Oryzias latipes: one gene and its partners. The protein of the gene in region 1 purifies or fractionates together with the protein of each later gene. This does not show direct contact. Links are inferred from orthologs where the notes say so. Each region holds a gene or a part of one and is shown in the gene's direction. Other genes may lie near its edges. The genes, in order: sod1, park7, hexb and prdx2.

What was found.
Region 2: the proteins of sod1 (region 1) and park7 purify together in Homo sapiens (affinity purification with mass spectrometry; 4 studies listed by BioGRID and IntAct, with this or other methods). This does not show direct contact. The link is inferred for Oryzias latipes from reciprocal best matches to the Homo sapiens genes SOD1 and PARK7.
Region 3: the proteins of sod1 (region 1) and hexb purify together in Homo sapiens (affinity purification with mass spectrometry; 3 studies listed by BioGRID and IntAct, with this or other methods). This does not show direct contact. The link is inferred for Oryzias latipes from reciprocal best matches to the Homo sapiens genes SOD1 and HEXB.
Region 4: the proteins of sod1 (region 1) and prdx2 fractionate together in Homo sapiens (co-fractionation; 3 studies listed by BioGRID, with this or other methods). This does not show direct contact. The link is inferred for Oryzias latipes from reciprocal best matches to the Homo sapiens genes SOD1 and PRDX2.

What each region holds. Positions count from the first base shown.
Region 1 is NC_019872.2:10,951,629-10,959,324, forward strand, and holds sod1 (superoxide dismutase [Cu-Zn]), read left to right. Parts: upstream 1-3,633; 5' UTR 3,634-3,756; coding exon 3,757-3,828; intron 3,829-4,624; coding exon 4,625-4,721; intron 4,722-4,832; coding exon 4,833-4,902; intron 4,903-6,285; coding exon 6,286-6,403; intron 6,404-6,505; coding exon 6,506-6,613; 3' UTR 6,614-6,861; downstream 6,862-7,696. Other genes in the region: scaf4 (splicing factor, arginine/serine-rich 15), read left to right, coding at 1-771. UniProt on the Homo sapiens protein: Destroys radicals which are normally produced within the cells and which are toxic to biological systems.
Region 2 is NC_019863.2:8,957,910-8,964,252, forward strand, and holds the end of park7 (protein DJ-1), read left to right. Parts: intron 1-3,306; coding exon 3,307-3,393; intron 3,394-3,707; coding exon 3,708-3,868; 3' UTR 3,869-3,972; downstream 3,973-6,343. UniProt on the Homo sapiens protein: Multifunctional protein with controversial molecular function which plays an important role in cell protection against oxidative stress and cell death acting as oxidative stress sensor and redox-sensitive chaperone and protease.
Region 3 is NC_019870.2:5,729,543-5,737,195, forward strand, and holds the start of hexb (beta-hexosaminidase subunit beta), read left to right. Parts: upstream 1-3,493; 5' UTR 3,494-3,532; coding exon 3,533-3,789; intron 3,790-3,899; coding exon 3,900-4,051; intron 4,052-5,207; coding exon 5,208-5,273; intron 5,274-7,300; coding exon 7,301-7,347; intron 7,348-7,460; coding exon 7,461-7,571; intron 7,572-7,653. UniProt on the Homo sapiens protein: Hydrolyzes the non-reducing end N-acetyl-D-hexosamine and/or sulfated N-acetyl-D-hexosamine of glycoconjugates, such as the oligosaccharide moieties from proteins and neutral glycolipids, or from certain mucopolysaccharides.
Region 4 is NC_019859.2:35,388,568-35,396,288, reverse strand, and holds the start of prdx2 (peroxiredoxin-2), read left to right. Parts: upstream 1-3,758; 5' UTR 3,759-3,878; exon of another isoform or gene 3,879-3,898; intron 3,899-4,523; 5' UTR 4,524-4,551; coding exon 4,552-4,654; intron 4,655-4,775; coding exon 4,776-4,929; intron 4,930-7,721.

The sequences.
Region 1 (7,696 bases):
TCTCAAGGTCCTCCTTCTCCCTTTATCAGACCTGGGGGTCCTAGAGGCCTGGAAGAGCCAGAAGAAATCGAGGAGAGACCATTTAGAGGGGACAGGCCTGGATTAAGAGATCGTGAGCAAGAAAGAGACTGGGATCGAAACCGAGATCGAGAGAGGGACAGGAGTTTTGGTGGTGGCCGGCGCCCGTTTGCCGACGGAGGCAGAGGAAGCGCTAATGATAAAATGGATGGGAGGGAAAGGCTTGGGGGCTGGCAGGAAGATGGAAGCAACCGTGGAGGAGGATGGGACAGAGACAGGGATCGTGACAGAGACCGAGATCGACGGGACTGGAGGGAGAAGAGAGGCAGCCTCGACAGAGAACGAGGGAGGGGTGAAGATGGGGAAAGGGATCGAGGGAGGGAGGAGGGCAGCGAAAGAGTCAGAGGAGAAGCGGCGAGTCGGGAAAGAAGCAGAGGAGATGATGGGAAAGGCGACAAGCCAAGGCGGCCAGAGCGGCGAGAAAGGACCACGCGGTGGGATAAGGACGATCGATTGGCTGAAATAGTAAATATGGACAGATTTCGGACACCTAACAGCAAAGACCAAACTAGTGTAAATCTTGTGGAGACCACTAAAGTACCAGAGGTAGTACCCTTTCAAAAGAAGGAAGAACCTGAACATTTAGCTCCGCGCATGGAGTTGACCACTGCAGCAGAAAATCCCGAGCAAACGGAGACCTCCCCTTCAGCTCAAACCGAGTCTACACAAGCAGACAAGGAAGCCGGCTCTTAGGCCTTCAGACATAAACGAAAGGCTATAACGTTCAGGATCAACCGTGTCATAAATTATTTTAAAGCAAAACCTGTTTTTCAGGTCGGAATAAACCATTTCTGGGTTAAAAGGACATTTTCTGTAAACAGATCACTCCCACACACTTTGTTAGACAGGTAGGTTTTTTTTTCCAGCATCAGGTGATGTGAAAGAATTGGACTGCATCTCAAAACAAACAAGGCGTAGTGAATTATTGGCTACTAACTCTAGTTTTTCCTTTCATTTTAATGTAGCATTTGCATTAAAAAACAACTTTTCTTTTTGAAATTCTTTTATTTTTTCTATCTTTATTTTTTGTGGAAGAAAAGTGGCTAAAATGATGTGAGTCACTTTATTAATGGGAAAAAAACATTTTTAACCAAGTTCATTTTTTTTCCTTTTAGAAAAATGTCTTTCGTTTGCTAAAATGTCAAACACTGAATATCATCTCAGATTTTTTATAAATAGAGGCTCCGTTGTTTTTTTTCTAGGTTGTGTGTTTAGTACGAAGTTGTCAATGCAGTGCCATCATAAGGAGTAAACGAAATACATTTGGGTATTGAATATTAGAAAGGGGTGGTACCAACAGGGAAATGCATACTTTTTGTTTAAAAACTTCACATTCAGCTTTATGATGAAGTGGTTTCCCTTTTTTTGGTACACATTTGAGTCAACTATGATCAGGAAAAAAACAAACTGCTCTAAATGTGCTATTTTTCTGGTTGCTGAAAAATCTGTCGTGGTCAACTGTGGTCCAAACGTTTATGTTCATAATCCACAGATTTATGCTGAGTGTTTAAAATGCATTCCCACTACTATAAAAAGAAATTCAGAACAAAAAACAGAGTGCAGACTTATCCGGTAGGATCCTTTATGTCAGACGGTTGTAAACATTTCTTTTGCCATTTTAATACATTTCCAAATTAATAAAAAACTATTCAATTTTTCTATTAGACACCATTGATGTAGCATCTTCTTTTAATTTCTGTTTCTTAATGACATTTTCCCTGTGCAAAAATGTTTGACTACACACCAATTTGTATGGTTTTAGGTCAAACTAGCCTTGAGCAAAAGCTTCATTTATATATTGTGCTTATACAGTCAAGTGGCATTTTACTTGCATGAAAATTGGAACAGACAAAATGTTAAAAAAAACCTCAATGTTCTAGAAGTGATAAAACTTTTCGTTATACAGGTTGTTTTGGCAATTGAACTGTGCTTAGGTTTTATGAAAAATCTATTCTAAAGTGAAGTGCAGTCAAAATCGCATTGGGAATGAGTTTTGTCTCATCACATTCTGCCTTGTGGGTTTTCCATTCTTCTGTTTAGGAACAGTGAAGGTGAAGTTATAATCTAGATGTGCAAAAATACACGTGTCGCTTAGGATTTATGAGTATTGTCTGCATACTTTTACAAGTTTACCTTTTGAGTTTATCTTTTGGTCTTGAAGAAACTTTTTCCCCAAAGCCAAAAAATCCCCAATTTATTATTATTATAATTTTTTTCTACCAAATCTTCCCCCGGGTTCATAGAGTTGGATTGAAGGACTTGGTTTACAGCTGTCACTTTTCATATTTTTGAATCATTTTAATACGTTTCATTTTGATCACCAGATTTAAAAACAAACAAACGAACCTCCCCACTCCTCCTTAGGTTAATGCAAAGGCAGCAAGTGTGGAACTACAGTACTAATTTGATGAATGGAAGGGTATTGTTGCCTTGGACACTGCTGTAAATATGCTTCTTTCACTGATGACTTTAAAGGTGTTATGGTAATTGTTGTTAATAATGTTACATGTTCAATCCAAGATGAAATGCAGAAGGAACAACACGCATTTGTTTGCTTTAACATTTTTAAATCCTAGTGGTTTGAGAATTGACTGATGTTTTTATGGCTTGTTTAAAGTACAGAAGACATGGACATAAATATGTCAATGTTTCAGCCACAGGAAACTTTTTAATAAACTATTTTTGTACCAAAATGGTTTTTGTGTCCTGTATTTTAACCCATGGTCACATCTTATTTTGCTTGAGCAGAGAAAGTCATCTGTAAAAAAAGGACAATTTGGGATGACCGACAGTCTTTGATGATGGAAAAATATTTTTTGAACGTGTTTCACTTTTGCACTAATCTATGCAGAAAAATTTTCTCATTTTAAAATAAATGGGAATCTCAAATAAATTATTAAAGTTGCAGTCCAATCATCTTTTGATCTATTTTAACGTCAGTTATGTTGCTTTTAGGCGATTTTTTTTTATGACGTAGTTTCTGCAGAGTGGCAGACGTTCATCCAAAATTCTTCTGAGTTGTGACTGGCCAGACACTAACTGCTATTGCTAGCAGTTAGTGCTAGCCATAGCAAAGAAAATAGCAGTTAGTGAGCCTGCCCTATTTTCCCATCATCTTTTACACAAAAACATTTATTTTCCATACAAATGTTGAAAAATAGAAGATTGTGTGCCAGATTAATCTTTTGGGGGGGAAACAACTTAATTTATTGTTCCTGGAAAGATTTAAGAGATTCAAGTTAGAATTGTTCAATGATATGGGGTATAAAAACTTGATAGATTTTTCAGCAGCAACTGATAAGTTGCTGTTATCTGACCAGAACCAAAGTTGTTTTTGTTTAAAAGAGTGCAAAAACTATTCTTATTATTCTGATTGTTTTCAAACATAAACAATATTTCTATATAAAAATCTTTTATAGATAAAATTTTTACAAAAATGTATTAACCGCAATTAAAGATATTAACATTAATAATTAAACTTCACATGCAATTCGTACTCCCATGATTCATAGCTTTTTTACTTCTGGAATCTTCTTCGACCAATCCAAACAGACTATTTGACATTCATCTCGGAATCTGATTGGCTATTTCCAACTTGAGCCCGCCTACAAAGCCTCGCCTTTCATAACTGTAATTGGTCGCCTTTTCCTAGCAGTGTCTTGAGAGACTTGAGCAAAAATGGTGCTGAAAGCAGTTTGTGTGTTGAAAGGAACAGGAGAAACCAACGGCGTGGTTAATTTTGAACAGGAGGTAAAGTTTTGTATTAAAGCTTTAACTTTGTCTCACGTTATGTTCCAAAGTTAGCAAACGTGACCTTTGCTTAATGTTTATCTCCTCTGCTTATTTAGCTCTTCATTGCTAAGCTAGCTAGGATGCTAATACATCATTATCCACATTAGGAAATGCCTTTTTGTGCTGGAAGTTTGCTTTTACTTAATTATGTTTCGCCAAAACCGGCAACAGCTTGCAAAATTACAATCGTTTAATAAGTAGTGTACAGAATTAATGAACCACTATTTCTTTTTTTTCTCCGTACTGAAAAAGTAATGCGTACATCATCATCATCATGAGCTGTTGTTGTCGGCCTTAAGCATGTTGTCTTCGAGTAATTTGACTGAGGTCCATGTTTTAAATTTGCACAACCTTTAGACATTTTACGACTTTGGGTTTTGTAATGATTAACGGTCCAACTGCCTGTGGTTGCGTAAATGAGGTCATTGGTTACCGTTACTACACTGATGGCGCCAGTTCTGTTTAGTTTCCTATTTTTAAGATACATTTTTAGAATTGTTATCCCCATCCAACCTTAAATACCACAATATACTAATGTTGTTGCTGAGTCATAGGAAGTCTACCAACTTGTTGTTTGTTTCTAATAACTTATTTGGCGTTGCTAACAATCTAGACTTCTCACGTAGTAAAAACAGATAAATGTCTGAGCTGCGGTCAATATTTCATTTTCTGAAGATCTACTTTTGCATAAGACAGTCTAAAATAGTAGATTGAATTATTTTGTAGCCACGGTATTTGGTGTGTGTGTGTTTAGAGCGATTCAGCCCCTGTGAAGGTGACTGGAGAAATCAAAGGCCTCACACCAGGCAAGCACGGCTTCCACATCCACGTGTATGGAGATAACACCAATGGTGAGTTCATGAGCCGATGAGTGACTGGGATTCTTGAAAATGCTGTAAATGAAATCTAATATTATCTGACGAGCTTCCACATCCCGTCCCCCCAAACATTTCTTTTTCTAGGGTGCGTCAGTGCAGGGCCTCACTTCAACCCATACAACAAGAACCACGGGGGTCCTGAAGATGCAGAAAGGTGAGGGTCATGTGGGAAAGGGTAGCGAAGTAAATGCAAAACCTGGTTCTATAGCTTATTAGTTTTCTGATATTGGTTTGAATTTTTATTTTATCCCTCCCCATTAATAAATTGGAGTGCTTATAGATGTATACCAGGACAGAATTATAACATGACGGTTCTGTAAACTTGATTCCTTCTGCTAGTAATTACTCTGCCTGCCTGCATCACTCACTGCTGTTATAATCACCTATCATGCTACCTTTACACTGGGCATGATGTGACGATGTTTAGAATATGTGATCAAGCTTACTTGCTTGAAAGTAACTATAGCTTACGTTTCTGGATGATTTATCTAACGAATCAGCTAATTTCTGAAACTTTGTGAAAAGAGCCATCCCATTTTCCATGCAACTTGGTGTTGACACAGTAAATAAATCAATCTCTATCTCTCTCGGCAATGTCCTATTCCTAATCCCTGCATGTTTATTTATTTCTTCTAAAGCTTAAACGGCTCACATTTAAATCACTTAAAGCTGATGGAGTTGTGCTGACAGTTGGGTAACAAATGAGGCATGCTGGGAAGGGGGCTCTGGAAAACCAAGGTTGTTAAAACACTGAGAAATGGGATACATGAAGTAAAATGCACTCTAGGCCTTTGAATTTTGTGCTTATGTCTTTTGAAAAGATCACATTGACTCACCTACATGCACATATCTAACTTGAATGAGGATTAAATTAACTCCAAATCCACCGATGGTAGCCTTAACAAATAGTTTTGGAGAGCAAAGTCTGACAAAGCTGAGCGCTCCAGTGGAACTTCAGCGTTTGTGGGTTGTTTGCACAACTTGCATCATGAACGGTGCTCTGCATTGAGCTGAGTTATTAAAGACTGAGATAGTGTGTCTGGCCTCAGTTTATTAGATTTTTATTCTGGGTTCTCTTTTCTTAAGCTCTGTTATTTCTCTTTTACTTGTGCTTGTTTTTGTGTGTTTTATTTTAAGGGGCTTATTTATTATTTTACTTCATGTGCGGGGTTTGTTTTTATTGTATTCTTGTTTTTTTTTATTTTTATGGAAAGCACCTTGAGCTGTCTGTTTGACATGAAAGGTGCTTTGTAAATAAAATTAATTTGAATTTATTCTGAAAAGCACTCTCCATTAGTCGCATATGATAAGTGCTTTAAAAATAAATCAGACTTCTTTGGTAGTTATTCAGTAGGAATATACTTTTTAAAGATAAAGTAAGCTTCTTTTTTTTTAACAACTTGAAATGCATCTAGTTGGTTTTAACTGACTAATCTATCTAACCTGCCCCCCCCCCCCCCCCCACATCTAAGTGTCTTAAGTTTTTATTTGAATTTATTTGATAAAGGAAGTTTTTTTTTTTTTTTCTTTTTAACAGACACGTTGGGGACCTGGGAAATGTGACCGCAGGAGATAATAACGTTGCTAAAATAGATATCACGGACAAACTTATCAGACTCTCAGGTCCAGACTCTATTGTTGGCAGAACTGTGGTGGTAAGTTTTTACTTTTTAATTTTGTTTTTAATATTTTTTATTGTATAAATTGTTAAAGCTGATAGTATTTTTCTTCCTGCCCTATTTGTCCTAATCATTTAGGTCCATGAGAAAGTTGATGATCTTGGAAAAGGTGGAAATGATGAAAGCCTTAAAACTGGAAATGCTGGAGCGCGTTTGGCCTGCGGCGTGATCGGCATCGCTCAGTAAAATGTTCAAAACCGCACTGAAAGCCGCTTCCTCCCACGGCATTTAATGAGACCAACAAAGCTACTTAATGTAACAGCTAGTCCTTAGTTTTGTTCTTCTGGACTAATAAACTAGCCAAGCCATGCTTTGCCATTGTTCCCTTGGACAGTTGTATGTATGGGTTCGTTTGTGTAGTGGTCCCAAAGAATTGGAAACGCACAAGTTATTTCTGTATGTCTTCTATTAAAAGTAAAATGGGTTATATCTACTGTGATTGTCTCATTTGGGCACTGAGAATGACTAAAACCCCACTTAAATCAAATTGGGTGTGACGTTTTTCAACCTTATCTTGGCGCCAAAATCATTTTAACCCTTGATTGCATATATTGTTCATCGTAGATATTTGTTTTGACGTTTGTTGCATTTGAATGTTTCAGAGCATCAAACTAATAATATATTAGTCAAAGATGCCACAAAATCCACACAAAAGTGAAAATATGAGTTTCAATTGCAGTCAAGCCTTTACGAGAAGTGGTTAGGAGACTTTCACAGGACTGTGGACCAGAAGAGTTTGGAAAACTTTAAAATTGTCCATGTTGGAGGGTTTCAGAACATATGCATTAATTCACTGCCATCAGAATTTTGGAGAGGTCTTTACTAAACCACTAAATGTTCATATATTTTCTGAAGCCATTCAGGGTTTTGTTTTGGGTCAGAACCCAGGCATGTTTCAACTTGAGGTCACTAAAAGAGTACATTCCCAAGGATATAATCTTTGCTCCATTTACCACACTGTATTTTAGACCAGCAATTATTAATAGGTAAGGTTTACAAAAAAGGGAAATGTTTTATGTTGAGTTCATTATCCTGCAAAAATGGGTCACATGGGGATCCTGATTTTTTTTTTTTTTTTAATGTGGAGTCAAAAACAAATGAACAGCACTTTAAACGGCACTTAAAATTAATGTTGTGAAGCCTGTCTTTGCCAGAAATATGAGCGACGATTAGACTTTGGAAAGCTGCAATGCTTTTCTCTTCCACTTGAGGGCGTTTTAATGCTTTAAGACTAAAGTTCTACAGGGTAGTAAGGGGTAAAGGTAGATT
Region 2 (6,343 bases), on another chromosome or scaffold:
GGATAGCTCCAATATCGCCTGTGATTTTCTGTTGCATTGGTGATGTTAGTTTGGGAGTGTGAGATAACAGGAAAGTGTGTAAATGGAGAGCTCTCACTTATGGGAAAAGGAGCAGGGTTTGCTCCATGCCAACGGTCTCACCCGTAAACTCGAAGGTGAATTTCTGATGAACTCCTGTCGCTCTGAAGACGCAATGTTCTAGAAAACGACCCAGGTTTTTTGATTTTGGCTAAAAACTGCATATTTATAAGGGAAAGACCACTGGAAAATGCTTTCACAATAGATCAACAGATGATCAGAGTGAGACTTTAAACATATTCAGAAGGATGTTTGTATGATACTGTGTAAGAAGTCATCACAAGAGCAAATGTAGAGATTTTGGCATTAATCTGCGTAACCACACAAGAGCTAAAGGTATGAAGAGTTTGATGACAAAAGAAAAAAACAGACATTTGATAAATGGCCCTCTGTTACAATTGATGCCAAATAATACAGGAACTGTAAAATAAAGAGGAGATGTTTGTTCAGGAAAATGCATTGAGGCAGTGTGATTCATAGGCTTGGATGGTTGCAAATGGCAGTGGAGCTCTGTGGTGAAGGGGGTATTTTGGAGAGGCAGCCAGTGAACTGTGAAAAGTGCAGCTTTTACAGGGCCTGTTGGGATTGGAAAGTTGACTTGACAATGTTTCAGCACAAGTTTAAAACTCCCCCATGCACCTTTTATTAGGTTTCATGTATGAATGGATAACTGATGATTGTATTGTTGTTGTGTATTATTCTTATTTGATTGCTTGAAATAAACCATTTCAAATCAAATTAAATCAAAATGTCATATTTTAATATGGGTTTGGGTATTTTTTTTTGGTTCATTGGGAACTATTATTAGTCCAAAGAGTTTAAGGAATGCCTCTTACTTGATTGAAATAAATCATACGCCGTCAGATTTCAAAGTTGATTAAAATGTGGTCATTTTCAAATATTTTACATAAAAAACCCTTGTTCCAAAACTACTGAGAAAACTCACAAGTAGTTTGATTTACTTGTTTGCTTGTAGGTTAGGGGTAAAAAAAAAAGATTGAATGATTTAAAAAAAACATCGATCTTTAGCTTTAATTAATTAAATCAATTGAACAATTTTACTTTAAAGTCATTCTTACTTTTTGTGGGGGGTAAAAAAAATCCTTAGTTCATTTTCTATGATAAAAATTATGATTTTTGTTGATGAAACTTCCACTTTTATGAAGTCCACATCCGTGGTTTTTTGAAAGTTGGTTTTCATCATCAAATAAAAATGGGTTTATATAGAGATTTAGGGGAAGAAAATGTATTGAATCAAAATTTGAATCAATTTAGTGTTTTGGCAGCCGTTGATCGTAACAACGTTTAAGTATTATTACATAAGTAACAGCGTTATAAGTTAAGTAACTGAGTAATTTAAATAATTACTTTTATCCCGGCTGCCACGCTGTTTTAGTCACTTCGTATAGATTGTAGTGCGTTACCTTTTAGTTAATTGATTTGGTTTAAACTTTTTTTCTTTCCCTGAGCGTCTTCTGTGTCACGCGACGGGGGTTGTCCTACTCGAGATCACGATTGGAAAGGGATTCAGGTGGGCGGGGGCACACTGAAGCGCTCCAAGATGTGATTGAGCAGCGCAGCCAGCAGGATCAAATCAACAGGACGTGTCAGCATTTTGAGGCTGGAAATATTACGTTTACTTTCTTTAATTAAAACAAGAGGAACAGATGTTTGTCAAATTCATGCTGTGTATCGGAACAAAGACATTTACCGACGTCCATCTGAAGCCATTTAAATTTAATGAACCACTGAGCCTCAAACTTGTATTTTTTCATCTCACAACCCACCGAGTGTGTGCTCCGGTGACAAAGCAGAACCGTTAACCTTATTGCAAAGTACCCTATGTGGTGGAAATCATGCTTCCACTGATCACTGTTGACTCAGACATTCGGAGATCTGAGCAAAGCCGAAGATGTAAAACGTCCATAAAGTAGATTAATGATGAAAGTGCAGCTAAAGACATCATTTCAGGGGATACTTGAAATATGTTAGAAACATTCTCTTTTATTATCATGCAACATTTGGTTTTGCCTTTATGTAAAATTAATATTTAGATTTATAGTTTTCTTGCTGCAGTTTTGAAGTGTGATATTTCTGACTGACAATGTTAACGTTTAGGTTAAGATTTAGATATTGTTATTTTATTGTTATTAATTATTCCTGTTGCTTTCCATTGTTCCCCTCTATTTCTAAAAAGGAAATTATTTTGTTTATTTAAAAAAAATTGGATACCAGTAACTAAAAGAAGTTGATACTTCAAACCTTTATGTTCAGTTTTTGAAGTTAATATCATTGATTTTTCTATATAGCTTTTTGAGTGTTTTTGTGTGATACTTCAAAATTTTCTTTAGAGTTCTATACTTCAATTCCCTCGCTCTCTGATAATTTAACAGAATTTCATTGGTAGAAGTATACCAGGATACAAGAAGTGTCAATTTCACTAAATTATTGAACTTAAGTTATTAGTTGTTTGTTAGCAGCTGAGGAAAAATATATATTTTTTTAGCCATTTTAAATTATTTTTAAAATGTAGTAACTGAGTTACTAACTCAAATACTTTTTGGGTTGATGTAACTAGTAACTATAACTAATTACTTTTTCAAAGTAAGATTCCCAAAGCTGGCCCTAATGAGCAAAGACGGGACAGAGAAAGAATTTTTAGAAGATACGGAAGGGGATAAATCCAGCAAAGCGGATTGAAAAGTCTCCTAAAAATGTCTGAAAACTGCAAAACACTATGCCAAATTATAAACAGTGTTAACTTCTCCATTTTAATAAAAGTTCTATTTTATTCATTTCTCCTTCATTGTACTTGAGCTGTATCTGAATGTCTTCTATGAGACATGGCGTCTTTTGAGTTGGGACTCGTCTCAGGAGTAGTTTGGACTTTCGGTCTGCTGCCCTGAGTGTGAACAGGAAAGCAGCCAAAGCAGCACGATCAATAGTTTTCTATTAACTGTTTTTGTTTGGATGAGCTCACTGCACTGCTTAGACATGGACAAAGTTAATGCGGCAACCCCACCCTTTTTTGTTGCTTTTTTCTTTCAATAAGCTCTTCAATAATAAAATTCTTGCCTTTTCCTGCTTGAAAATTTGAAGGTTTTTAATCCCAGGTTGCTGCATTTTGCTTTTTTTGGGAGGAAACGGAACTCTCTCAATGCTTTTTTAAATATTACTTTTCAGCAGGAAGCTGTCACATGAGACTTGAACAGTTTTGCACTTTTGCAGGCCCTACCGCTCTTTTAGCCCATGGCATTGGCTTCGGCAGCACAGTCACAACGCATCCTGCCATGAAGGAGAAAATGATGGCTGGAGGTAAGAAGTTGGTGATTTCTAATCTGCTGCTGTCATTTCAGCTAAGAAACGTGTAATTGTTTTTAAACAGCAGCAGATGGTGCTGTACTGGCTGCTCCTTTATCTATAGTCTTCCTGCAATGAGAGCACACCACTCAGAGGTTAAAGCAGTTGCAGGAATTTAATAGAACACGCTAGAACTGGGTCAATTGAAATGACAACAGATAATCCGTTCCTGAAGCACGTTGATGGGCAGCATGTGCGATTTCTTAGCTGCTGTTTGAAACTCCTGTATGGTCATTAACCAAATCTTTCTTTTTTTTTTTTTTTTTTAGATCACTATAAATATTCAGAAGCTCGAGTACAGAAGGATGGACATTACATCACCAGCCGTGGACCAGGAACCAGTTTTGAATTTGCCCTGACAATCGTAGAAGAACTTATGGGGGCCGATGTTGCAACTCAAGTCAAGGCTCCTCTTATTTTGAAGGACTAAATGTTTCCACTGTCACCTAAAAAAAGAGGCCTTGCCTCAGTAATAACTATTAAATTCCTTAAACTGTGTTTCACATAAAACAGTAAATATATTTTTCAGCCCAACTAAGATTCTGAGTGTTCTTCCTGTGTCATAGATGCTTACAAATGCTTTCAAAACGGAAATAACACTAAAATGCATTCAAGAGCTTTTCAAGCAGTCAACATGCTCAGCGTATTTCGACAGTTTAATGTTTTTCAAACTAGAAATAAAAGTTGAAAGTGATGGATCTTTGTAGTGTTACTTGTACTGTAGGTCACTGACGTGTTTTCGCATGCCTGCGGCGGTTGTTGAGACCTAAATATAGACGGCATATTGTGTTTTAACGGGGTTACAATTCAGAAGGCGGGAAGCAGAAACCGAATGGATTGACGGTTCAGCTGACCAATCAAATCCCCCAGCTTGGCTGCAGTTGTGGCTCAACCGACGAATGGCACGCGGCCGGTGGGCGGGGCTTTGGAGTCAGCGCATGGTAGCTGTTTCAGAGCAACACAATCCGGAGGGTCTTCATCTCAGTCAAGAAGGAAGAGAAGCGTTTTGACGAAGGTAAGAGCAGTAGGTTTCGGAAATACTTTGGTTATTTGGGGTTTTGTCAACGAGTAATACTCACCCGAGGGGCTTTAAACGGCAAGGATGGTCCCTTAAAAATTTCATTCATTCATTGTGCGCAACGAAATCACATAAATAGCCACTAAAGGTGTGTAGAGTTTAAAATTAGGTAAGATTGTTAAGCTACAGCCGAAACAAGCAGCTGTCTGTTACAACAGTAAGTGTGTGTTTGCCACTAGGACTCATTGTACTCGCCGTGATTAGCCTGCTAAGTGTTCAAATAGGTGAACATCAAGTTCGCTGCAGTTCTTGTATAATGGGTTGAATTCAGCTTTTTTTTTTTTTTTTTTTAAACTGGCCCGGTGGGGGAGCGGTGGCGGCATTACGCGCTCTGATGTGCTGAGACTAAACGCACAAGATTGAGTCCTCACGCCGGGAGATGGCTCTGCAGAGATGGGAGCCGACATGAGACGTCGGTCTGAGGAGCCGTCCGTCCTCAGCAGCCACCGTAGTCAGCCTGAGCCGCAGAAGCTGCGTTGTGGAGCTGATGGGAGTGCGGCAGAGGCCAGCTTCAGTCCATCAGACCGAGCGAGGCATCCCCGCCGCCGCCGCCGCGAGGAAACCAGCTAGAAAAAACCTTCCGCTCTAATATAGGACCATGTTCAAAACGCAAAACTGCTGCCTTTTAAAGAATAAAAAAAAGACTTTTGCCTGCTAAAAAGGACAAGTCAAGATGCTATCTTAGTTGTCTCGTTTTACAATGGGAGGAAATGCAACCCTAGTTTTTACCTAACAGCATTTTCAGAGTGAGAAAGTGCCTGACAGTACTGCCGGACTGCAGGCATTGTTTGCAAAGCATGCAAAAGTCAGAGGTCATGATTAGAGAGCAAGTCAAATGGCTTTTTAACACATCATTATGCAGTCTGACGTTCCCTGTTACACACTTTATTTGCATTTTTTTTAATTGATCAAACTCAAGAAGGCGAACTCGGTGTATTGATTATATGTCTATATATGAATACAAAAAAAAATCAATACCCTTGCCATAAAACGGTCTTCAATATTTCATTTAATGCTGTTGCTGGTATGTAAAAGCAACATCAGCCCATTAAGTGCCTCAGCTAAAGAACCAATATTTGCCTCTCCCTGGAGGACAAATGCTCTTCTGCCTGGACAGTTTCTTGACAGTACTACACAGTCCCAAACATGCAATATTTGATATTTGTATATTTCCTGATAAATAACATTTTGCACTGTTGCACATAGCATGTTAGAATTATTCTGCTTGAGCAGCTGTACAGTAAAGAGCTTGAGGCTTGACTCCCTATTTCTGGATGGGGCAGAGCGGGGTAGGGTAAGGCTGTAGTCTCTGTGACTGAGTCATTGGTTTAGCTAATGATGCAATTAGAATGCTTCACATTGCATCTACTGATTAGACCATAGGGTTCTCCATAGAATGTCACTGCAGTAGTACTTGTACCATTTGGCTTAAAAGGACCTACCGGTATATCTACTCATAAGGAAACGGTCATGCTTTGAGGACAAAACCTACTTTTAAACCTTTATTTTTTCCCCAAATGCGTTTAAAAAGCATTTGAAATGATGTCATACGAATTTTTGAGGATTCCATTGAATCTTGCAAGGGAATTTTGCAAGAATGTAGTTATAAACTAAGGAAAAGGAAACTAAGCTGTTTATTAACATTGTTGAAGCCAAACTATTGGCACGAAACACAGCTCAGCCCTAAAGCAGCAAGATTTTTTTCTTTTTTGGACAAATGTATCCAAATTGTCTCTAAGTTGGAACTAAAAAAAAGTTTTATAATTGTTTAATGTACAATACAAAACATTACCACAGTTCTTGAATAATACATTATAAGGGTCTAAC
Region 3 (7,653 bases), on another chromosome or scaffold:
TTGGACGGGTGTTGAGTTATACAGTCAAGGGCGGATTCCTCAAAAGGTCTACTGAGCACAGACGCAGGGCTTGGGGAGCCCACAGGGCCCCTGATCTTATTAAAAAACCAAACACACACAGAAGGACACAAAATCAACAAAAGACACAGATGAGGTGATGTGGAATGTCGGAAATTAAAAAAAAAAAGGAGGTAGAATGAGGTGATGTGAGATCGAGGAGTGGCTACTAAGTGATGCCAAAATGACTGAAGGAGACAAAAGTTCAGTAAAAATGTTTGCAAATTGATCTCAAAGAGTAATCAAATCAAATCAAACTTTATTTATAAAATAGCCCTTCTCATGGATTTTGTGCAGCACGAAGCAGTTTAACATTAAAAGCAGAAAACACACAATATTACATTAAAAACCGTACCCACCCTTCACCCTTCCCACTCCCCTCCGTTAAAACATATGACCCATGGCTCCCACGTACAAAGAATAATGACTAGTAGACAATAGTCGCACAAAAAGTCCTAATTTATCAAGAAATGAATGGAAAACTGGCATGCAACAATGAAATTTAACCTGGTGCATTAGATGCAGAAGCAAAAGGTATGTTAGAATAACAACATTCATGTAGCAGTTGCGCATAGTAACTGCACATTCATGCAGCTTCACTGTTTTAAGTCCCACTCTGACCATCTTTTTTTTCAAGCGTGCCCAGTGCAGTGGTCTTTTAAAGATGATGCAGCTTTTAGCAGACATCTAAAGACCTGTGTCGTTTTCTAGGACATAGTTTCTATAGGAGTTTAGTCGAACTGTACCTCGGGATCGTTGGCGCAGAGTAACCCCGCCTCCACCTTCCCTTTGCATTACTGAGAGATCTCTGTTTACACTGTTTACAGCCCCAACCTAACATTACCGTTGCAACAAAAATAACTAGCAATATTGGAGCCATCCAGCCGTATGTTTAGAGCCAGATGCCACCTCGGACCAGGAAAACTAAAACGTTAAGGATCTATTTGTCTGCAAGTGGATCCATCAGAATGGAGCGGAGCAGGGAGCTTGTAGCAAATGATCACTTTTTCGTTTGCTCCTGATTCACAACGATTTGAACAAAGAAATACTCAGAAATGTCATTTTAAGCTTAATTTTCTTTATTTATGTCTTCCATCATCAGAAAAATGCCACAAGAACTATCTGTCATTATGGAGAAATGATCTGCTACTAAGCTGAGCTCCATACAAAAGCAAAACCTTTAATAAAGTAAACACAAGTTCAAGTTCCACAAGCTAAACGGGAAAGAGAACTAGTTTTCTGTCCCCTGCAGCGTCTGCTCAGTCACTCACTAAACAAAGTAAAAACCCGTCAAACGAGTTGACTTATTTTCCCAGGAGCAGCGTGACAGTTCTTGGATTTGAGGTTGCAAAAATATCATTTTTTTGGGAGCCTGTTCTCTCAGGAGAGCAGCACCCAGGTCAAATGTTTGCACATGTTGCCATGATGCTGCCTACAGCTGTTAGCGTTTAAGCTGTCAGACTTTACAAAGGTCAGTTGCATGAAGACGATGGTTCCTCAGCAGCACAGAGATAAAAGGAGCCTCTGTTTGAAAGGCTGGCCTGATCTGATCACAAGATCCCAGACTGTGGTTTCAAACTTTCCTTTGACTGAATGAAGCTACACAAATGCAGCTCATCGTGAAGAATATTTTTGTGTCCCTGTTATTCCATTGAGCGCATTTCATTTTACTGCAGGAATTTCACTGTCACAGAGCAGAGCAACATTTCTGCCCACCTCTTTTTTCCCTATACCCTCCAAGCCATTGTCACATAGTGATGTCTTAAGGGGGTAAAATACAACATTTTTAAAATCCGCCGTGTGTTTCCTCATCTGTCTCACCTATTTACACAACAGCTGCTTTTCTTCTGTTATTCTACAGCAGCATGAAAAGAAATGTCACCCAGAAGTAGATTCTAGATGTTTCTTTTAAAAACTGCTACACCTTTTCTGTCATTAGACTGAAATGGGTGGTTATACATTGAATATATTATTATTGTCATTTTGAGTTATTTCCTGTTTTAAAAAGTATTGTAGGGGTTTTTCCAATGACAATAGATGGTTCAAACCTTTGACTGTATATGAGAACTGGCGTTAAAAACGAACGAATCAGATGACTAAATAAAAACATGTTGTCTCACGTTCAAAACGTTTGACAGGTTCTCCTGGTGGTGGAGCTAAAACATTGTATATGTGTGTTTGAGGTCATTTGTCAATGATGATACAAATATTGTTGCAAAATTTGGGGGTCACAGCTTTTGGCTCTGCCTCTGGATAAAACCCAAGCCCGCTTTCAAGTGTTAGGGGGGAGGACTTTCAATTAGCTCACTCCTGATTGGTGAGAGTGGTTGCCATAGAAATACTGTCTCAGACTAATCACTATTTACTGATGATTTCTGGTTCCAATATAGGGACTGAATTCACTTCATTCTGTTCGATCCGTTAGCATGTCGCTTTCTATTAGTAAAGTCATAATAACTTGGTTGGGTGTTCATATAAAGTTTTTTATTTTATTTTATTTTTTTCACAGCAGAATTACCTATAAGACAGTGAGGAAAAAAAAGATGAAACATCGAAGAAAAAAACTGTTAAAAAATATTTTTGAATTTTGGTATTAAGTTTTCCAATTTTTGCAAGATTTATTATAAATTATTTTTGCTATTTAGTTTATATTTCACTTCAATTCAATTTCATTTATATAGCCCAAATTCAAAACAATAGTCATCTCAGTGGGCTTTGTAAGTCTTTTAATGTAAACATACAAACAAAAAGGATCATAAATGCATACAATTCAATAGGATAACTTTAACTAAACAGAATAAACTATACTGGCATCCCTGCCCTTAAACCCTACTTTGCGTTAAGAAAAAACTCCTAAAAAAAAAAAAAAAACGAAATCTGCAAAAAAACGAAGAAACCTCAGGGGTGTCCAGATGAAAGAGGGATCCTCCCCCAGGACGATGTACAAGAACTCATAGAGAAGAACTGGCTTAACCAACTCTAGAACTACATGTTTAAAGTCCAGCAAATGATCTTCATCCAGTTGAAGTTGGGGGACGGCTGGGGGTGCGAGACGAGCCGGAGACAGGATCCTCAGCCAGGGGTAGGAGCAGTAGTAGAGTATATGCATGTAACTGGGCAAAACTACCAAGTTTTGGTCATCTTACTGTTTTGGTTTTTTAGCTTTTTGTCGCCCCCATCTGATCAAAGTAGATAACTGCAGTGTCAGCCTCTGTTAAAGGAAGAATTTCCTGTTTTATCACGTACTATAAAAACTGTTTTTAGTTAAGCTTGTTTGTTTTCAGGTGAGACATTTTACCTTAATGAACATGTAATGTATTAAAAAAAACTCGAACTTCACTACTTCCGGTTGTTCTGAAAATAAAATGTCTCCTTTAAATTTTTGGACAGATTAATTTCCGGATGTAAAGCCCCGCCCCCTCGAAGTACTGTAAATCAGCGATCGGCAGTTGGGTCTCGTGACTCTCCTGCCAGCATGCGCGCGCTGTCTGTGTCCGCTCTGCTGCTCCTGGCTCTCAACTCCTGCCGGGGGACGCAGGACAACCTCCTGGACGAGGATGTCATCGAGCCCGTCGTCCAGGCTTCCAAATACGGCTCTCTGTGGCCTCTGCCGCAGAAAGTGCAGATCTCGGAGGTTCCGCTGAAGCTGAGCGGAGCCACTTTCGAATTCACCGATGCTAAGGGGTCGACCGCCGGTCCGAGCTGCAGCCTGCTGCAGAGCGCCTACAGGAGGTGAGACGCTGCGTTTGCTGCGGCTCGTTCGCTTTTTAACTTGCCTGGTTTGGTCAATAGAGGAGCCGGTGCAGTGGTGCGTTCAAGGACCGGTTTCCCTCTCTCTGCAGGTACTATGATTATATTTTTGGGGGCCCTAAAAAACAGAAGATGAGCAGAAACAGACGAGCTGGCCCCTTGGAACTGACTGAGCTGCAAGTGTCGATCACATCACCTGACTCCCAATGTGATGGTTATCCTTCTGTGACGTCAGACGAGTCATGTGAGTCCCCCACTTCGTGGTATTATGTTTTAAAAATGTTTGTTTTTTTAGGACGTAGAGAATTCTGATTTAAACTGATCCTATTTAATTTTAAGTAAATGGACACAGATGTTGATTATATTTTTTTAATAAAAACAAATTTAGGTCATACTAACAAGCTTTTTTTTGCTTTTCCACTCTTCTTGCACTATTACAAACATTAAGTTCCTTGTCAGGTAAATATTTAATTAATAATAATAGAAAAAAAAGAACTTTTATTCTGAAAACCATAACTTTTATGTTTAGGTTTTTCCCCTTTATCTCATCAAACCAGGAATTCAGTGGGTTTAAGTCACATCTACAATGTATTTTGTTGTTAATAAAAATGTACAATCTTCACCTTATTCAATTAAGATGGGAATCCCACAGGTACCTGTCCTGGAGCCCATGTTATTTTACCAGTTTGTTTACATCCAGTACTGTTCACGTTCACAACTAAAAAAAGTTTTATTGAACATAAACACATTTACAGAACATATAGATAAGTGCATCCACAACCAATGAGCATAAACATTTTCTACATGGAATAGTTAAAACAGAGGATATGTGAATAAGAAGTAATAAGTAAACAAATGAACAGAACTTCTTCTGCGGCTGGCAGAAAACAGGAAGCATAAAGTAAAGGTCACTTTAGTTGATTAAATTCTGTCTAAAACTAAAAGCAAAACAATGGTAAATACTTTTGTAGAAGACTGTACTAAACTGTACTAAAAAAATTTTAAAACAAAATCTTAAATAAATTGTTTTTATTAGTTTTAGGCTAATCTGGACACGTTGAATACCTAAAACATTTAGCTTTCCTGTTCTGTTCTTTGCTGAGGTTTGACCTCAATGGAACCAGCTACTGCTGGGAATAAAGCACAGTAGTCAACATAGTCATTGATCTGAATATTTTCCGTTTTCATACATGAATTGTTTTGTTTTTGAATGGAAATGTTAAATCTGCTATTTTTACTGGAGTGCAGGGATTTTCTAACTACAAAGTGGAGCTTATGTGGACCTTAAACTGAAGGATTAGCGCTGACAAAGTGTTTAAAACCTCATTAAAACCTGAACCCAAACAGAGCTGTGATAAGCAGAAAATGAACGTGCTGTTTACCGCCATCTGTGTCCGCAGATGAGCTGTCTGTGGATGTGCCGGTCGCTGTCCTGAAAGCCCCAACCGTCTGGGGAGCTCTGCATGGTACGACTATTGAACACTTTATTTGAAATTGTTATTTTATCATCATATTTAATGGAAAATGATTTCAATTTCTGGTATTTTATACGTTTTTTAATGTATCTTTGCATCCAGATGTGTTAAACGGTCAATATTTTCTTAGATATTTAAGGCCTATGATCACTTATGTTAATTTATATTTATATATTTTTTGTAAATTCACTAATGGTTTATTCAGACTGGGAAAACCGTTTGTTCCAACTCAGTCCGCTTAATTTGGTCCGGATCGATTCGACTGTCCTGTTCCAGACTAAAGCTACCATGTGACTAAAGCTCTCTTCACTCATTGGTCAGGAAACCACGAGGGTGGGGCAAAGCAACTAGAGTCAGTAATTATGGAAGTCCTGCGCTTTTAGTTCATTCAAACTTTATATTTCGCTCACAAATTTTGAACGCCTGACAATCGTTGTCCGCGGCTCATCTGTTGCTACATTCCTACGGCTACGGTGGCCGTTGTGGTTCCGTTGTTCCGCTCCAGCACCGGATTGTATTCAGAGTGAGGTATCTCAGGGTGAACCAGAGCTCAGTCTGATTGGAAACAAACCGAGACCACCTGGGTCCGAGAGCGGGTTCTGGTCCGCTCGGGTGTATTTAGACTGAATATTTGTTCTGGATTATTGGAGGAGAAGAACTCTGGTCCCATTTAAGCGGACACCACATGTGTCCGGTCTGAACACACTCTATGTCTTAACACGTAGGCATGTTGAAAACACTCAGGCTCTTTGAGTCTATTGAGTTTGCAGATCTCAAGTCAATATTGAGTCTTACAGATAAACTGCATTCCTTTTCATCTGATGGAGATTATAAAATCCGAGGGTCATTCAGGATTATTTTTCTGTTACGGTCTCTAAAGTTTTTACATTTCGTCTCCGTATCAAATGTAAAATAATCTGTTTTTGAATAATTTGCTTTTTAAGTTGCCATATTTTGATGCTTTACATTGTACTTCAGAAACTTCACTTTTTGAGTAAAGTGAGGATTTTTTTTCCTGGGAAATTAAAATTCCAGGAGCAGATTGGGACCTTAATTTATATAAGTATTTGTTTATATGACAAAAAATGTACAGAAAAGTTTGAAAGGAACCAAAAGTTTTTATAAATTATTGGACTTTTGCATTTAGGGTGCTTCCACTTTTCTCTCTAAGCTTTTTTGACATCTACAAAATCCAGGACCTTTCAAAGCAACAGTTGTGTTATGAACTCTTTTCTAAGCTTAAAGACGCATTCCAATAACAATGGCGTTTTGGGTCTTTTTAACATGTTCTCGTGACATTTTCTGATGTTAGAAGACATAGATTAAGAAAATTAAGCTTAAAACTGCATTTCTGAGTATTTCTTTAGTCAAATCGTGAATCAGGAGCAGACAAAAGAAATGCAGTCGTAAAAAGATCTTATTTGTGTCGCAGAAAATAAGCTCCAAGCAGAAACTCCCCGCTCTGTTGCTCTGTGCCAACAGTCCGGCCCACAACATGGAGGTGAATTTCAAGTTTTTTGAAGGACCACCGGGAAATAAAATAGATCAGAAGATGATCAGAGTGGGACTTTAATTGTTCAAAAACAAAAAAAGAGCTTTTTCTTTGTTTATCGTTGAGGTCAAATGTCCACAGCCACACTTAAAAGGGTTTGTAAGAGAAATATTTAATAAATATATGACTATATATTTCTTTTTATATATTTCTTTTTTTTAACCTAAACACAAGAAGTGAATTATTAATAACTCAAATCTACTCGCAAAAAAATAGTAAGTAAAGTTAACTTTTAAGTTTTAGTGATCAAATCCTGTCTATATTAACTAAGGATGTTGGAAAATGAGAATGAGGAAGCATAAATAACATTTAACTATAATTTTTTTGCTTTTAGATAACATTTAATTGAAATAAAAACGTTAAACATGTATGGAAATTTTTTTTTTTATACCTGCCTGTTCCGAATGTCTGTAAGTTATCAGAGTAGAATTAATTTATGTAAATTTTCCCCAAATTTCCCTTTCAGGACTGGAAACCTTCAGCCAGCTGGTGTATGAGGATGACTATGGAGCTGTAAGTGAAGAGCTGTTGCTGTTTGCCTCTGCTCTCACCAAAGGTCTTGCCGTTAAACTAGAGTTAAGGTTTAAAAAGTTTTCTTTTGTGTGCAAAACCTCTGAACTTTCCAGAAAACCATCAATTCCACGAAAGTGAGCGACTTCCCGAGGTTTGCTCACCGAGGCATCTTGCTGGACAGCTCGCGCCATTTTCTCCCCATTAAAGTCCTCTTGGCTAATCTGGTACGACCTTTTCCCAGTGTCATTGAATTCATTAAATTGAATCATTTGATGGAATTTCCTCGTTTATGTTACGCTGTTTGTT
Region 4 (7,721 bases), on another chromosome or scaffold:
GCAGATTCTTTATAAAACTAAATGTGTCATTATTCGCAAGTTACCGACTTTAAGTTGTACTACATACAAGGAAATCATAAATTAAAATATTTATTGAAATGAAAGTGGTTGAATCTGTCAGTATCCTTCACTTGCAATGAGATCTGATGTAGTTTCAGCGTTTTATTAGAGACGGAAATTTATCCCACAACACATAAAGACACGAGGCCCATTAGGATCATCGTTTTCACACTGCAATAAATCTGCCATATTCTTGTCATTTCTGCATGTCTACTTTCCTTTTCTTTTTTGTAGAGTTTATCAAATTCACTGATGGAACTATGAGCCATGAAGCAGAGCAGCAGCAGGAAGAACTGTTAAGAACCTGCAACCTTTTCACACCAAAAGGACCAATAAACCCACTCTACTGTTTAAAAAAATACACTTTACGGTTTGAGACCATTTACTTCTATAGCATGTAGATGATAGATGGATGGATGGATGGATGGATGGATGGATGGATGGATGGATGGATGGATGGATGGATGGATGGATGGATGGATGGATGGATGGATGGATGGATGGATGGATGGATGGATGGATGGATGGATGGATGGATGGATGGATAGATAGATAGATAGATAGATAGATAGATAGATAGATAGATAGATAGATAGATAGATAGATAGATAGATAGATAGATAGATAGATAGATAGATGAACATGTTTTTTTTTTACAACTGTTGACACTACACTAAAAAAAAAGGTCTTGTGTGATTTCCCACTCCTCCTGAATTCAAGCATGTCAGATAACTGAGCAAAATGATGGTAAAATATATAAACTACAGTCAGGGCTGTTATTTATTAGAAAAGAAATATGGCAAATATCGTTTTTTCTGCACAATAGTGTCTAGTTTCTGTAGTTTTGTTGGTCATGTTTATATTCAGTAGGAAAAGGAGGATATGAACGACTGCACAGTAGTCATAATCACAGGCTATGCCATTACTTTCCTACATTTTTTTATTCTAGTAAATCTGTTGCTGCAGAAGGATCTTCAAATTTCCGTTTGCCCGCAAACTCTTGTCATAAAATCAATAATATGCATCCCCCAGAACTTTCCAAGAACATTTCAAGAAATTTCTTGATAATGATTGGCTAAATTAGGCTATAAGCTGTTGTAAACCTGTAACAACAACCTGTGGCAACTGGACCTTCAGAGCCTTGAGGGCCAAACGAGAGGAACAGATTTATTCGTTTCTGTGATCAAAACCACAGTGTTTATACTTTTGAAGAAGATAACTATTTCTGTTATTTTCCTGTTCATGTGATTTCAATTTAGAAGTTTACTCAGAGCATTTAAATTGTGGAAAAATATACTGTACATGTCAGGAACTCAGGTTTATGTTGACAAAAGGTTTTCTTTTCAAGACAGACTTTTAATTTTAGTCTAAAACGTATTTTATTTTTGGTGTTCAACTACGAAATTCACAATAATTTTGATTCAAAACCGGCCCTTTTAGAGTCAAAGCTTGCAGACGCCTGCATGCTATCATCCACACTCTTTCCTGAACCCACGCGATAAGAAAAATAATAATAATAAAAAAAAAAAACACGCGATCAGACAATTGTCGCGATGAGTCGTAGAAAGCATTTTCTTTTCCAGGTCTCTTTTTATTTTGTTCCTCGTTTCATTACCAGTTTACCATTTCGATTATCGTACTTTTTCGTTAGTAGGATTAAAATATAAAAACGTACAAAGGTATTCGATGGATTTAGCTAAGATAGTACTCTACTGTAGTACTAGCAGCCGCCATTGTTTGTGTGCTGCCTGCTACACTGCAGCAGGTACAGCAGTGACTGCTTGATCCGTTTTTATTCAGTTAAATACCGGAAAGTTTTATAATCTACCTCACAGACACGTGTTAACTTCATAACACATTTATTAAAGTCGTGAATCTACTTAAAATCTCTCAGAAAGTGCCTGAAACATCAGGATATGCTAGCTCACCGGAAGTAGCGCTCCACAGAGTTCTTCTTCTATGGATTTCACTGTACCAACCCATACATACCAACGCACTACTGCCGTCTCCCGGAAGTGTTGGGTTACTGCATTAAAATGAGACTTGACCCGATAAAACTGTGGGTGATTGGCATTTCCTACCTACTGCTAGGGGGGACTGCCACATCTCATATTACTTGCTTTTTCGATGACAGACTTATTACTGTTTTGTAAATGTGTGTATGAAAGAGAACATAGTTGTCAAATGCAAAAGTATTTTAAAGGCCCACTCCGATTTCTAACATGTTCTTGTAGCCTTTTTCTGATGGAAAAGGACAAATATAAAGAAAATGATGCTCAACATTGGATTTCTGAGTATTTCTTTATTTAAATCACCTCTTCTGAACTGGTATCTGGATCTAAAGCGGCTCACCGTTTTTGTTGCACAGGTAATATTAGGATGGGGGTGTGAGGGGCTGTAAGCTAGCAGGAGCTCGCAGCATAAGTGAGAGCTCTCAGTCATGGGCGACAGGAAGGGACAAAGGGGGGCAAAAAAACATCACTGAAAAAGGAACAGGAAAGAAAACTGACACTGCTAAGTGATGATTCGAAACAGGTTGGCAAAACAGAGAGGACTTGGACCTGATCCACTCTTTTTTTTAAGGCCACAAATACAAAAATGTAAATAATAATTACAAACTGGACAAATATAAAAGACTGACATAGCATAAATAAAGCAACATTTACAATGGACTGGATTTCAGTCCGCAGATCATCTTTATTTCATCTATTTCCACACACGTTAGATTACAGTACAATAAGGCTGTGCATTGTAAATGTCACAAGTTTCATGTTTAATTTGATCTTGAGTTATATTGTAAGCTATTTATTTTAAAAGTTAGCATGTTGGGCACTTTGAATTTACACTTACAGTAAGGTTTCCACACTAACCATTCCCAACCGACTCCACCACATTGGAATGACAGACGACCGCTGCAGGTGACCCCACCCACACCAAGACGCCGCCGTGAACGTTTGCAATACAGACCATGTTACCTGGACGATGCAGCCACGGTCTGCCGTCCTGTTCACGGATGAGGGTCGGGTCACCGTGCAGAAAAGATGGTCACCAGCGTTGCTGGAGAACGCGAGGTGGAGCGAGACGATGAGGTCAACATGGTCTCCAGGGTTCACTTTGGTGGGGGAGGAGCAACAGTTTGGACCGGCATCACCAGGTTCTTGTAGACGGTCCAGTCACTGCAGGTTCTGACCTCAGAGACGTTATAGAACCATCATCATCCCCCAATTCCACCAGAACACCCCCAACTTCCTGTTCATGGATGATGATGATCCACCACATGGTGCCAGAACTGTCACAGCTGGACTTCAGGAAGTGGGAGTGGCTTTTCTAGTAGCCAGCAATGACCCTTGACCTGAACCCAATAGAGCAGGTCGGGGATCAGCGGAAGCAGAGACATGCAAGTGACCTGAGCAGAACTGCATGTAGCACTTGTGTAAGAGTGCTATTGACACAGTCAATGTCTGTTATTTTGGTTTTGTTTTAATTCTAGGGGTAATAAAAATCAACCTGATGAAAATTGTGTTTCTTCTTCACTATTAGTGATTTCACATGATTTTTTCCCTCAATATTCAGACCGAATAGGAAAAGTCCTCGTGTAAATAACAACGTTCCTAACTCCTTAGTAGTGTCACTGCTTTAGTGAGCCCCAACGCACAAACTTCTTCCAAAGATTTCTCAGGGCCGAAGGAGCGGCTTTTATTTTGAAGGGTGTAGTACTTCCGGGGGCGCAGCTGTCGGGGTCTACTTGTTTCCACGCAGCCGCGCTTCTTTTCTCCAGAAGCTTCAAACCTTCCTCCGAGTTCTCGGCGGGCAGTCAGGTGTGTTGGGAGTGAACGGGGTCAGTCTGGTCTGACGTCAGCGTCTCCGGGTTTTGCGGTTTGTTCCGGAAGAAACTGACAACAAAAAAAAAAAGAAGAAAAAACCCGGTTTCTTAAGCTAATGTTTAAAAGAAGCTAGCTAGTAGCGACGGTCCGGGCCCGCCTGCCTGCGGTTCCGTCTTTGTTTGGGTCCGGGTTGGTTCGGTCGAACAGCCTTGGAGACGCGTTTGAAAGTCGCTGGCGGTGCCTTTGATCTAACCGGAGCCGCGCGGCGTTTGTTGGTTTTCGACCAACTTAAGAGACAATGAAGGAACATGTGTGCTTTCTTTGTGTGTGTGTGTGTGTGTAACACTTCAGGTAATGAACTTTGAACTTCAGTTAAACAACCTTTAGTCTTCATTCCCGCCTTAAAAGTGCGTCTCTCTTTTTTCTTCTTATCTTTCTCCTTTTGAGTCGTTTAAGGCTGTAGGTTCCGCGCGCCTCTTAAAGGCTTTTGTTCTCCTGACTGCCGCGTGACCTCCTTGAGGAGGAGGGGGGGGGGGTGCAGGGGGGATGAATGCAGAGATCTCAAACCGTGAGACTTTGTTTCAGCTGCAGTGCCTAAACGTGTTGTTTTTCTGTCTTCTTCATCCGTGGATCTTCTAGTCCCTGCAGTTGCTCATCCTCCACCATCATGTCCGCTGGAAAAGCTCAGATAGGCCAGCCTGCCCCAGACTTTAAAGCCACCGCTGTAGTGGATGGACAGTTTAAGGACCTGAAGCTGTCGGACTACAAAGGTACTCCATTATTCAGTATTTGCACCTGCTCCTGCTTGGATTGGTGTCACCGACGCCATCGTTGGGGTAACTGGATTCATCCTCTCTGGGTTGAGTAACCGGTTCCTTCTGTGTGTTTCAGGGAAGTATGTGGTTTTCTTTTTCTACCCTTTGGACTTCACCTTCGTTTGCCCCACCGAGATTATCGCCTTCAGCGACCGGGCGGAGGAGTTTCGCAAGATCGGGTGCGAGGTCATCGGCTGCTCCGTAGATTCTCACTTCAGCCACCTGGCGTGGTGAGTCCTCCTGCTGGAAGAACCGGAGATCACCCACAGCAGCCGCGGTGACGTGTGCAAAATGTCTTTGATCGGAGTAGAATTGAACCGTGTTCATGGGCCCAGAAACACTTTATACGATTATAACAAACGTTTACATATGTCACACTTTTGGTTCGGATTAAATCATTGTGACACGAGCAGAACTCTCTAAAATACCGGAAACGTCTGTAGAAGACGAAACATTGAGTTCTGTTGTAAACAAGCTGCAGCATAGAGGTGATTTTAGTGCTTGTTCACATGTTTTCTTGGCTGCACAGAGCCAGAAGAAGGGTTAGCTTAGGCTAACACGTGCTAACAACAACATTTAGCCGTGGATGCAGTTCAAATCCATGCGGTCGATGCTGCAATCTGCATCTCTGCTGCCTGCATGTAAACATGTGGGAACAACATCAGCCTTTATTCAGAAATAACATGAATTCACAGGATTGTTTCCACGGTTTCTCAGGACTCTGCAGCGTTTCTCCATTGAATAGCCGCCTCCGTTAGCTCACATCCGTCCCAGAGCCGCTCCTCTGCTAGGAGACCCGGTTCTATCGGGAGACCCGGTTCTCCTGAGTCCAGCAGCTCGCTCACGCAGAGAAGCAGGACGGACGGCGGTTCAAAGCCTCTTCTGGAGCGCCACACCGCAACAAAACGCCCCCCACGAAGCTACACGTCTCTGCTCTGATCAGAGACACGCTTCACACGGGTGGAGCAGGCGGTCGGTCCTGTTTGTGCTCCAAAGTCTCCTCCGGAGCGTCACACCGTCTATAGGTGACGTAAACCAGGGCAGCAGTGACCCACGATTAGAGTAAACGGTTTACATGCACCATGATCTGATCAACAATCTGCATAATCCGTGTTGGTGGAACGGCGTATTTACATGACACATTTTTCTTTTGATCTGGCGTTCGTTCCGATTACTTTTGTCCATGTAAGCGCAGCTCCTGATGAGTCAGCGGGTTGCTATCAGAACCTGTTCCTGGAAAAACTGCGTTTGAGCGGGTTGGGAGTCTTTGCAAAGGTCAAGGACAAGTCGGAAAGCTTTGATAAGAAAAGGTCGGCAGGGGAACGCAGGCGGAGGTTTAACCTGTGAGGATCGACGCGTTGTCCTCGAATTTAAATCCGAATCTCAGTTTATGGTGGACTGGGGAACCCCCCACCCACACCCATAAACACACACACACCCACACACACACGCACACACAGGGCGGTGCAGGATTTGAGTCTGCACCGGCAGTATTTACAAACGTGGAGCAATTCTATAGGAACACTTTCTAACCAGAGAGCAGATGTGGTACAACAGCTTACATCAGCTGGTTCTGAAGACCCCCCCCCACACACACACACCCAGGTTTATCTCCGGTCAGGGTCTGGCTGCAGGGTCTTGATAAGTGCTGACCCAACGGTCTCACAGCTCCTCCCTTAAGTTCATCCTTAAGCTGCTCCTCCTCTTCAGTCCGGGTCTTGGTCCAGATTTAAACCTAAAGCCTATGGAGTAAAAACCTGCCCCTCCCTGTCAGACGTTAAAGTCCCCCCAATATTCTTCCACTCGAAACTTTTTTTTTCTTTTCCACAAAGCGTTCCCGTAAATGCGGCCCTTCAGGTCAACATGCGTGGTTGCAGGTTGTGTGATCTGAGTTGCAGTGAGCTGCAGTAAGGAAAAGGTGAAGATCACTTCCCTCATCATCACATTTTGCTCAGTTTGACTTGCAGACGTTTGTCGTGAAAAGGGGAATTTTCAGACAAACAACATAGAAACAGGACAGTTTGAACACAAATCTGTCAAATAGTCGAGCTGGACTAGAGGTAAGATCAGGCCTAAAATATCCAGCCCGACCCGACACAGGCCCGCGGGCATTAAAGCCGAACCCGGTCCGAACCTGACCAATTAACTTTAATAACCGTTCAGACTCGAGCCCGGGCTTAAGATTTTACCTCTAAGCTGGACGTGCACAGCTTCATCTGTTCAGAGCAAAAATCTTAAAGTATAGAACTGCAATGTGTAGATTTGATAGGAAAAAAGGAAAAAAGAATGACGATAGTCATAGTTACAGAAAATACCTTGTTTGACTTGGCTTCCTTATTCACATTTCTAATTCCAACCCCATTCCACCCCCCCCCCCCCCTTTCTATTGGGGGCATGGTTTGGCACGTTACCTTAAATATAAAAGTTCCTAAAGTTTTATTTTGAAAGTTCAATGAAAGTTTTTACTTTTTCCGGCCTTTTGCTTTTGATGCGTCGTGGGATTGGAAATGGAACCGTTGCGTTGCAGAGGGACGGACGCCAGACGCTGGCGTGACGGAGGCGACGTAAACATTCCTATTGATTAACCAAGGTTGCACTTGACAGATGGACTGGTGGAAATCTGGCGTCTCTTCATTCAAACTTAGTCTTTTCTTTTTTTTTGCCCATATTCCTTTGCCTTTCAAGACATTGAGCAGAATGTACATCGTTTTGATAAAAAAGGTGGCATGAGAGTTATTTTTGGACGGGAACTTCTGATTGGTTGGAATTTCCTGCCCCAACAAAGATCACATGTGTGCGGGACAAACGGCCCACAGCTGTGGTGCCCTTGAGCAAGTACTCTGACCTCTGCTGCTGGCTGTTTTTGCCCCACAGCTTCGGTTCGCTCTGAAACTTTGTGAACATTGTAAAAGGGGCGGAGCTTCCCTGAATAGAAACGTGTCTGCTTTTTTCGTGAATTCCCTAATATGTTTATTTTATTTTTTTTTTAATTTAAAGAATCCTGTTGGAGACGTGGGATCTT